Coturnix japonica: one gene and its partners. The protein of the gene in region 1 purifies or fractionates together with the protein of each later gene. This does not show direct contact. Links are inferred from orthologs where the notes say so. Each region holds a gene or a part of one and is shown in the gene's direction. Other genes may lie near its edges. The genes, in order: SLF2, SMC5 and RAD18.

Region 1 (4,080 bases):
ACAGCAACAGGCAAATACATCAATACGGGAAAAGATTACACGGGTGGGAGGCAGCACCGGTGCTCCTTGCTGGCTGGGCTGTGAGTGCCTGTGTGCTCTGCTGACATCTGCCAAGTGTTTGTGCCTTTGGGGGCCGTGTGTGTTTCAGGGCCGGAAGCACCCGGAAGGCTGCAGGGCTGAGATTACCGAGCTGCTGGCGGCTGCTTTGCACCTGAGTGTGTGAGATGGATCCGAGGGATTTAGCACACAGATCCCTAACACAGCCAGCATCTCCAATTCAAGGAGCACAGCAAGAGCTCTGCTCATATTGCAGCCCCCCCCTCAGCTCCCCTCCACCCGGGGAGCCGCTTCTGTCCCGTGTCACTTTTTTTCACATCCTTTTGGCCACACAGATAGAAACTGGGTGACATTTCACGAGCCTACAGGAGTGGGAAGAAATGGAAATGACCAGCAGGGACACACAGGATGGAGGAAACCAGCAGCCTCCTCGTTCTTGCTGTGCTGGAAGCGTGGTCAGAGGGAAGGGAGTTTCTTGGGTTGTTTTTCCCCTCCAGGTTCCTGTTTTCCCCCCAGCCGTGCTGGGAAGGGCTGGGAGTCCCAGCCGGGTATTTCCCCGATAGACAAAGCCGTGTTCCTGCTTGGAAGGGCCCTACAACAGGTTCAGACCTGGGAACCACCCAGTGCCACAGCCCACGAGCTCAGCTCTCAGCTCCCGCACCCTGCTCTAATGGCAACAACCCCCTGAGCCAGGGGCCGGAGTCTGAAGGACCTTCATCCCAGCAGCCTCACATTGGGATTCTGGGCACTGACCCCACAGCCGGGTTAGAGGCAGGGGATATTGCTCCGGGGATCCGCTGCACGACACGGACACGCCCCACGCGCGTTCCCGCCCCGCCGCGCGTTCCCGGCGCGCGCTCCCGCCGCGGATTTTGCCCGCCCCCTCCGTGCACGGACCAATCAGATCGCGGGGCCGCGGGGCGGAGCCGTGCCCGTCTCTCCCCTTCTCCTTTAGGCGCGGAAGGCCGGTCCCGCCCCCCGCGCTCGTCGCAGCCAATCGTAGCCAGGCATTGTCTCCCCGTCCCTCCCGCCAAGGTGAAGAACCAATGCGAGGCGCGAGTCCTTCATGCGCTGAGCCAATCAGCGAGCGCTCCCAGTACTGCGGCCGCCTCCCGCCCTCGGCTCACAGGGCTGGGGGTGTCGGGCGGTGCCGCGCAATGGCGGCGGTGCGGCGCGGTGCTCGCAGCCCTCAGCCCCTCCACACAGCACCGGCCGGGCTACAGGCGCCATGACCCGTCCGCTCGGAGCGGGATCGCCATCCCCGAGCCCGCCCGCTACCCGCTCCGAGCGCCATTTTGGGCTGGCAGCGGGCAGGGCCACGGCCCGGGACTGCAGGTACGGCCTGAGGGGGGCAGAGCTCAGTGTGTGTGTGGGGCGGGCGGCGGGACCGGGACTGTGCATGGCCGGGAGCTGGGAGCAACGATGGGAGCCGGAGTGAGGCCTGGGAACGGGAACGGGATGGTGGGGCGGGACCGGAGCTGCGGGTAGGGATGGGACGGATCTAACACGGAGATCAGTGTGAGGGGCCGGGCGCCGTCAGAGCGGGGAGGAGATGGCGGCGGGGCTGCAGGGGAACGGGCAGCAACGTGTGCGGTGTGATGAGCGGCACTGAGCTGACAGCACGGGTAGGATCGGGGCAGGAGGAGATCATGGGGGTGCCCCGACACTGGAGGTGCTGGGGCTGGGTCGGAGGGGTGCTGGGCTGGTGGAACAGCCTGTATTGGGGTGGAACTGGGCGACCTTAAAGGACCTTTCCAACCCAATGCGTTCTGTGATCACCGTGTGGCCCTTCCAGCTTGGGATTACACGTGGTTCTGTGGTTCTTCTCTGCCGTGTGTGTGACTGCTGGCTCAGGTTGGTCAGGAAGGCGATGGAGTCTTTCTGTTCAGAGAACTTAATAACTCCATCCCAGGTGAGCCACAGCCGTCCCTTCCACCTCATCTGCCCTGTGCCGGGCAGGCAGCCTGGCAGTGACAGAAGGGGCTGATGCTGGCTGCTGTTTTCAGCTCGTCGTTCAAAATCCATGAGTGTCATACCTGCCTGTGTGCCTGATGTGCCTCTCACTGCTTGCTGGCAAGCCTCTCTGTAGGCTTCAGCAGTTGGACTGTAAAGTGGAACCTTCAGTTGCTGTTGGTGGTGCCCTCCAGTCTGTGCCTGCTGTAAAATGCACATAGAAGTTCTGTTAATAGCACAGACCTGATGAACCTCCCCATGTACTGAAAATCCAAACTGCTGAAGGCTTATAGGGTTTCTTAGAGGCTGCCAGATCGAGGAGCTTTTGCTTCTAGCTGTATGAGGCAAGTGGCAACTGTCCTACACTGTGAGCGGTGCCTTGTTTTGTTTGTTGACATGGATCTTCTGTTTTGATAACCCTGAAGGGTGGAGCTACAAGTTCTGTTCCTGTTCTGTTGCTGCCTGACAGTGAAAGTGAAAGTACATGGTTCGGTTTGGCTGCTTGGGGATATTTAGAAACAAACTTTGATCTAAGAAGAAAACATTGTGTGATAATCCTCTGAAAGAACACTGTGAGGTTCTGTGTATGACTCTGTGTATTCGTTGTCCTTTTTTTGCCATCAGGATGGTGCTTTTCAAGGCTTTTCGAGGTCAACTCATGTATTTTATGTGAAGTTTGGTACGTTTCTGTTCCCGAGGCTGAGTCACGTCACACTGCAGGTTGAAATAAGAGCTGCTGGCATTAGCAGCAAAACGAAAAGCCACAGAACCCCTGTAGAAATAAACTTCAGCGTTTTGCTTTATTCACTGTGTGGACGTTTAGACACTGTTCTCTCAGATGATAATACTTCTCTTTTCTCTTCAGAAACCAGGCTATTACAGAGTTCTTCAAACCGGTTTTAAAGCAAGGTAAATATAAATATCTTCCACTAACAAAATGCAAATAAGAACCAAAGTTTGACTTATGGAGGTCTACATAAGAGTGGGCTCTTCCCAAACAGGAGCAGTGGCACAATGACTTCATATTGCCAAATACGTCTAAATGAGCACATTTATACTTTTCTTTCTTAAAAACATAACTGAAGAATTAACTTCCTGTTACAGTGAATGTCTGTAAGTAGCAATGTAGTGGGTAGAGCTGTTTTATCACGCTCAAGGTAGGTGGTTATAGCAACAACAGCCACGTCAAATATCATGCAGTTGTGATTTGATATAGGAGGTAGATTGTGTATTACTAACAAACACTAAGTGATCGGGTAAATTCACTTTGGGCTGTGTGGGAGAGGGGTGAAATACCAAGCAATGAGATACAAAAAGACTCTTCCAAGACTCTTTCCCCTTCCCTCCCCAGTATTGTGGTTGTGAATGATGAATCTTCCCTTTGCTCTTTCAGAGCTCGGCCATAAAGACAGAAGCGTGTTGTGTTCCTCGGACACAGGAAACGTGAAGGATGCAGGGATTGGACTGTCTGTTCTACGCACCGAATGCTTTGAGAAGCAAATGACTCCTGCAAAGAGGGTTAGAAGGAAAAAGATGCCGGACCCGACACCAAAAACAAGTCCTATATTAGATGCCTTCCGGAGAGGAATTGAGAAAAAAGGCAGTGTAAACCTATTAGACAACAATGCGGTGTGCAAGGCACTGGGTTCAGCATGGCCAAGGGTTGTGATTCGGAAACTCTTTGTAACTGCGGCATCTCCCAGGAATATCTTGGCTGAAAAAGATAAAGGTGTCAAGCCTGAGCAGGGAAGAAGTGAGAAGTATCTGGATGTAACAAGAACGCTGCTGTCTTGTGAGAACAGTTGGGAGCAGAAAACTGATTGTATGGATGTAGAAGAGACCAGTTCAGACTCGGACAGATGGGTTTTATCAGAAGCTGATTCTCAGAAAGCCTGTGCTAGAAATAAAGGCAACGCAAGCAGCACGTCTCTGTGTCAGAACTCAGGGCTTCTCTTGAAGCTGCCCTGCACTCCTCCTGACTCCAAGTTTAGGTTAGCACTGGGAACTGTGCACAGAGGAGGAAAGCAGAAGACACACAGAACAAAGCGATCTAAGGCACATCACTTAAAG
Region 2 (2,705 bases), on another chromosome or scaffold:
AAGGCTATCACACAGGATGGCAGTTCAGCTGTGCTTTGAACAGAGGCTGATTCAACTAACACAAGGCAGCTAGAAGCACTAAAATTATTTGTGTGCCAGGGAGGCAAGAATGGGCCTTATACTTCCTATTCAGATGTCAGTTTTCCTACATCCCCACCTTTACTGCATTTTAGAAAATCTGGTATATTATGTGCTATTCTTTCCTTTAAAGAACAATTGAAAGAACTAGGCAAAGCCAGCTATAGCACTTTCCTAAAATAAATAAAAATAGAGGGGAAGTGATGCTTGTTATTCCTTCTGATAACTGCAATTCACTTATCTCCACACAGTTGGTCATTTCTTTGTTGTGTTATTTTTGTCTGTCTTGTTCTGTATATCTGTCTCATTTTGCGTTTCTGTGATTTCTGTCCTTACCATTTGTTCTACTTTACTCTTTCTTATTTTAAGGAACAACAGTTATTTGAATGGATGTTGAATGTATAGCTCTACCAATAGAGGTGCTTCTCATGTGTGGGGGGCTATAGGAGATGACTGGGGATTTGGAGTCTGTTTTAAAAGTTGAGCTTATTGTCAGATTACAAAGAATAGGTAAGGGGAAAAAACTGAACTTGTAGAGTTAGCCAAAAATCAGAGCAAAGATGAGAAGCAAGAAGAAACTTCAGAGTTTAAAAAAGGTCTAACATTTATGGTAAGAGGAAGACCAAAGAGTATGTAGGACCACGGTTTAGCAGCATCATGCTATTATGAAGAGAAAATACTGAGGATTTCGTTTGACTGTATTATATCTGTATTATATTTTTTGTTTAGTTCTGTTTTTATTTTTGGTTGTGTTTGTGTTTTGGGTTTTTTTTTTTTTTTGTTTGCTTGTTTGATTTTTTTTTTTATTTTTTAATAATCTGATTTGTTTTCAGTAAAATCAGCCATAAGAAGATGATAACCATATGTTGAAGTTGTAGTGGTCTACTAGGAGGAATTGTACTGAGATACCACTTAATGTGAATAAAGATAGGGGAAGCTGTATGCTGGATAATTGTAATCATTATAAAAGTGAGTGTGTTCCTCATGACTGAGTCCTGGGTTTGAAAATCAGTTGTAATATCGAACTATGGTACAAACAACCATCATATTGGGAATCAATTTTTCTTTCCTACAGAGCAAGATTAGAGGTCAAAGTAATCTGAAATTAGGTAATTCTGGCTAGGGCAAGTAAGTGAAGACTTCACTTGCAGCAAGAAGGTACTATGCGAAAATGTTTCTATCTGTAAGAAATAAGTGAAACATGTTAATCACCTGAGTTATACATCTCTTCAGGGGTTTCAGGGAAAAATCTATACACCATCTGTCAGAAAAATTAGGAAATTAATCCTGTAGTGTTGACCTTTTAAGGTATAAACTTGACATTAACCTTCTTCACCACTTTTAGATAATCTAATTTAATAATTTAAGTTCAGGAACGTAATCTTTTCTAGCTGTTTTGACTTTGAGTTTTGTGTTTTTCCGCAGCTCTTGCAGAATCTTACTTACAATGAAAAGATGACATTGCTGTTTGTCTACAATGGACCTTATATGCTGGAGGCAAACAAATGGAACTTAAAGTCTTTCTGTAGGCGGCGGCGGCGACTTGGGAGGGTGGATGAACAGTGATACATGTGTTTATATATATATATATATATATATATATATGCATATATGCACACATATAAAATATTTGGTGTTTTTGAAGAATATTTTATAGCATCAGTCATTCAGATCTTCAGAAATTGTAAGAGATGAGAAACTGCTGAGGGTCAATGATTAAGAGCTTTGGTTCTTAAAACTTTGTAAAGTTCATAGTGTCTTGTTTAGATAATATTTTAAATAAAAAGGAAGTTTCTTTATTTTGTTACTTTCAGTAATATCAAAAATATGTTTAATTGTTCTAGGTTGTATTGCGGTAAACTGAAGTTTGTTTTTTTTATAAGTTTGGAGTTTACTCTTATTAAACTGTTTTCCCCTAACACCATTAAGGATGTTTTCCCAAGTTTTCTGAATGAAATGGAAAGTTTTTGAATGAATAAATGAATGAAACAGAAGATGTGTGAGAAGGTAATGGTCTGTAAGTAGCTGTGCACTGGTTTTTGTTTTGTGAAAATAGATCTATGTTAATGAATAGGCTGGTAATACACTTTGTTACTTTTACTTTTTTTACTTTTTTAAACTTTTTTTTACCTTTTTTTTTTTACTTTTAAAACTTTTTTTAGCCATTGTTGCATTTTGTCTTCCTGGAAGGATAAGGTCTTTGTTTTGCTACAGCAAGAAGATGTGACAGAGCCAGGTGTTTTTGAAACAGTTGAAGCCAGAGTTTGCAGAGATGAAACTCAGTGATGTGTGACTTTTTTAAAGTAAAACTAGATATGACCAGGAGCAGTCTTTAGCTGTGCTGGAGTGATGGTACATACCGTAGCTTTTTATCTTTAACTACAGAATTAATCAGTAGAGTTTTGGCTGTAGGTGTTAAGTCTTTGAAAGTAAATGTTATCGATAGAACATTGAATACAGCTGTTAAATAGTTAAGTAGACACTACCAGTAGCACACTGAATACCTAAAATACATTTCTAGTTCATTAGTTAACTGCTATGTATTTTGTAAATGGATGAAAACTACGATTGATATCTAAAATGTACACAGAAACGAGTGAGTCTGAGAATATCTGAAAATGTGCAGT
Region 3 (3,652 bases), on another chromosome or scaffold:
GTTTGTCTCTCTGTGATTTGTTAGCAGCCATTTTGTTCAGTGCTGTTGCATCCCTAACAACTCCTGTTTAACGATCCGTTTCATGTGTTTTCAAACAGTCGCAGAGATTGTTAAAGAGCTGGAAAAGAATGAGAAGATTCGGCTTCAGCTTGAACTGAGTAAAAGTGGTGAAAATGTAAGCTGATGGTCCTTGTTCCTAAACTGGGGGACGCACAGGAGACATTGCAGTGTGGACGCTCAGTGTGTCTGCCTGCTGCTTTATTATGGTGATTGCCAGAATTCCAGACTTGGAATACTTGGCATATACCATCTTGTAACCTGCTTGATTTTCTCATATCAGCCATTTGTCATGGGCAGTTCTTAGCGTAGTGCTGTCGTCTATATGTCCAAACCATTTAAGTAGGAGAATTTTTTTTCTGATTGCAATAAAAATTCTGAAGTAATGTTCCCCTTGGTCGTACTGGAAGACTTTGACCCTCCATGGTAGCGTGGGGAATATTTTGCTTCCTAGAATTCTCTAGGATTTATCTAGCACATTCCTTGCTTCCCTATTAGCAATAGTGCCTGTTCTTTTCCCATGACATATGATACTTTTGTGACTTTTGGTGCACGTTTATTGTCCAGGGTTAGGGAGAACTTCATGGCCCACACATGCTGGGTGTTACCCAGGGTATTTTGGCTTAGTCCTTTGTCTTTGTGAAAGCAATGCAAGACAGTATGTACTTTAAACATGTGTTACGTCTGTGGATGAGAGACTAAGAGCTGGTGTGAGAACACTGAATGACTGAGCCTTCCCTAGTTAGTTTTTAGTTTTAAAGTACATGGCTTTATCAACTTTTCCTCCTAGTAAATAAACATTTGTGTGATTTCTGTAGAGCCTGACCTTTACAAAGGACCAGACAGAGCAGGAAATAGATGAGATCCACACCGGTTATCGTGAGTAAAATCCAAGTTTCAATCCATTTTCCTCATTAATTGATCTTTTAAAAAACCAACCAAGCCACCACCAACAAAACCCCTTTGTCTGTCCTTGGAGCCACGTAAGCAGCTTAGCTTTCTTTAGGCTTAGTTTAGAAGCAGAGGTTCTTGTGAGAGTTTTATGCAGGACTTCACCTGTACAGTGCTTGCACTCTTGGAAGCAGTGGTTACCATGGGACAGGTGTATGCATGCATACACAGTGCATGCATGCAGTGCACGCAGAGCTTCCCAGCTTTCACCATGGAGGAGCAAAGCACTGTCGGGACAACTTGTTCTGGTGATACTTATGGGTGTATTTAAATCTGCAATATGGTCACATTCCCCTTGTTTCCTTGAGTTCTTCTGTTGCTTCAAGCATATAAATTATGTCATAGTGCAGCTAGATTTAGCTTTGTTGAGTTTAGCTAGGTTTCTGTAAAGGCTAAATAAGGGCCTGAATCTTTAGCAATTTTTTCCCCTTGCTTTTTGCTTCTATTCCTGAGAATATTTTTTTTTTCAGCTGTACACACACTGTTTGTGGTTTTGAATCATTCTCTTCTAATTTCATGTAACTGGCTCATAATTGCTTTCTTGCCTTGCAGAAACGTCTAGCAATATAATACAAAGCAAAATTAAAAACGCCAATCTAACCCGTTACAGAAACAAACAACCCCCCTAACAAAAAACAAAAAAACTCCCCATGAACTTATTAATCCCTGAGTGGGGTATTTTCCCCCAACAAAGCTTAAACAGTTCTAAAGGATAAACTCAGAGCTCAGTGCCTGGTAGCCCTGGAGCAGCTGCCATCCGTGCTCCACTCACTGCTGTTCTGCTAGGTACAGCCAGCACTGTTGTCCTGGTCAGGAGCTTCCTTCTGCTCCCTTGGAGCTCAGCAATAGCACTGGGATGCTTCTGCTCCCCACCCCACCCCCCCTGCCAAGGTCAGCCTCCCGTTTTCCTTAAGGGCAGGCTTCTATTTCAAGCTTAAAAAATAATAATTTAAAAAAGAAATGTAATCCGCTGCTCTTTCTAAGTCTTTTAATTTACACTGGATTCAGACACTCGGTGATTTATGCCTGGTGTTTGAAGTATTTGTAATTATGTCTGCAGTTGTTTTTATTACTGAAATACCCATAGTTTTACGAGCTGCACATGGTATGTATCTCCAGCACAGCTGTGCCTTACATTGCATCTGAGCAGTGCCCTGTATTGGCAGGACGCTTGATGTGATGTGAAGACCTTCGTAAATGCAGCATGAAACAAAACAACAAAAAATAGTAATGCTGGAAAAACTGAAGCACCAAAGGGATTATGTAATAAATGCACCATGCTTTACATACAAGCATCTTGGGCGGGAACATTTTTTTTGCTAAAAGGAGTTGTTGACGTTATGTTGAGCTTTCAACAATGCCAGGAAGAAATAAGCTCTAAACAATACATGGGAAAAGCATTTCAGATGTGTTTCCTCGCAGAGGGCAGAACCTGACAGGAGGTGGTGGGGAGAGGCCTGAGGTGGGAGCTGAGCTCCCCCAGCCCTCAGCTTGCCGCAGGCTGAGGATGCCTATTGGTTTTGTGCTTGTTCTGTATGCTGGGGTTCTTCCTGGTCCATAAGCACAGTTGTAGTGGCAATGCTAATCCCTACTTGAAGCAGTGATGGAGCACCTGGTAGGAAAGCAGGGCCAGCCCAGGGGAGCTTAGGTGCATGCAGTGTAGGAGCCAGGATCCACCCCTTGCCGGACCTCATTTAAGGGTTGGCAGTGGAGGTGAGGGTATCACTCTAGAGATACCTTGTGTACCTGAGGCCTTCCAAAGGTAAGCAGCTTCTTTATTTCTGTGCCCACTTCTTTCACATTTGAGCAAATCCTCACTTGCTGTGGCCTGGAATCTTGCTGCTCTGCTGTCACTGTTGTGCTTACTACCTTGTTACACTGTAAATGCTTTACTGCAGAGATGGGAAAATTTAGAGCTGCATTAAAGCAGGTAACAGTGTAGGCCAGAGGGTTTGCTCTTTCTCTCTAGTTAGGATGCTACCCTCTGCTGTAAGGTGATAAAGCAAGAGGCATGCTAACCAGGTTATCAGGATGGGGCTGATAGCCTCAATTAGCTTCTGTTAGGTTGTTTGAGAAAGGACACCTTGGAAACACATGGCTTCCATTGGGCTTGTTATCAGTAAGGTCAGTCTCATACTGAGTGGTCTCAAAAAGCAAATAACTGGGAATTACAGCTGGAAGGTAAACCAGCACAGAATAAGGGATGCCCTGTTTCTGTAGCTGGTTACTGGCACTTTCTGCTGAAGTGTGTCAGGCACTGAGGCTTTGTTTTCCCTTGGCAAAATGCTGTGCTGAATGCTCTGAGCACTCAGAGCCGATGGGGTTTTGTGAGGTGTTCGTGCTTTTAGATTTTTTGAGTGACAACTCACCCTTAAAGGCTAATTATTCCACTGAGCAGTACAGCCTCTCAGTCTAATTCAGGGGAGAGATTACTAACAAATGCAGAGCTACAATGTCCAAAAGGAGCTTGAAATCTTCATCATGTTACAGGCTGTTACAACGGCAATCCCAATATTAATGGGTTTAGAGAAACAAACAAACAGGAATGTGGTGACGTGAAGAGGAAACAAACACAGTTTTATGGTGCAAAAATCTGAGATTTTGTTTATGCAAATATTCTGGCTGCTGAGGGCACAAGCATGGA

What was found.
Region 2: the proteins of SLF2 (region 1) and SMC5 purify together in Homo sapiens (affinity purification with mass spectrometry; 3 studies listed by BioGRID and IntAct, with this or other methods). This does not show direct contact. The link is inferred for Coturnix japonica from reciprocal best matches to the Homo sapiens genes SLF2 and SMC5.
Region 3: the proteins of SLF2 (region 1) and RAD18 purify together in Homo sapiens (affinity purification with mass spectrometry; 3 studies listed by BioGRID and IntAct, with this or other methods). This does not show direct contact. The link is inferred for Coturnix japonica from reciprocal best matches to the Homo sapiens genes SLF2 and RAD18.

What each region holds. Positions count from the first base shown.
Region 1 is NC_029521.1:20,245,177-20,249,256, reverse strand, and holds the start of SLF2 (SMC5-SMC6 complex localization factor protein 2), read left to right. Parts: upstream 1-1,150; 5' UTR 1,151-1,285; coding exon 1,286-1,392; intron 1,393-2,875; coding exon 2,876-2,919; intron 2,920-3,403; coding exon 3,404-4,080. UniProt on the Homo sapiens protein: Plays a role in the DNA damage response (DDR) pathway by regulating postreplication repair of UV-damaged DNA and genomic stability maintenance.
Region 2 is NC_029547.1:31,403,707-31,406,411, forward strand, and holds the end of SMC5 (structural maintenance of chromosomes protein 5), read left to right. Parts: intron 1-1,503; coding exon 1,504-1,644; 3' UTR 1,645-2,072; downstream 2,073-2,705. UniProt on the Homo sapiens protein: Core component of the SMC5-SMC6 complex, a complex involved in repair of DNA double-strand breaks by homologous recombination.
Region 3 is NC_029527.1:16,639,642-16,643,293, reverse strand, and holds part of RAD18 (E3 ubiquitin-protein ligase RAD18), read left to right. Parts: intron 1-98; coding exon 99-175; intron 176-875; coding exon 876-936; intron 937-3,652. UniProt on the Homo sapiens protein: E3 ubiquitin-protein ligase involved in postreplication repair of UV-damaged DNA. Postreplication repair functions in gap-filling of a daughter strand on replication of damaged DNA.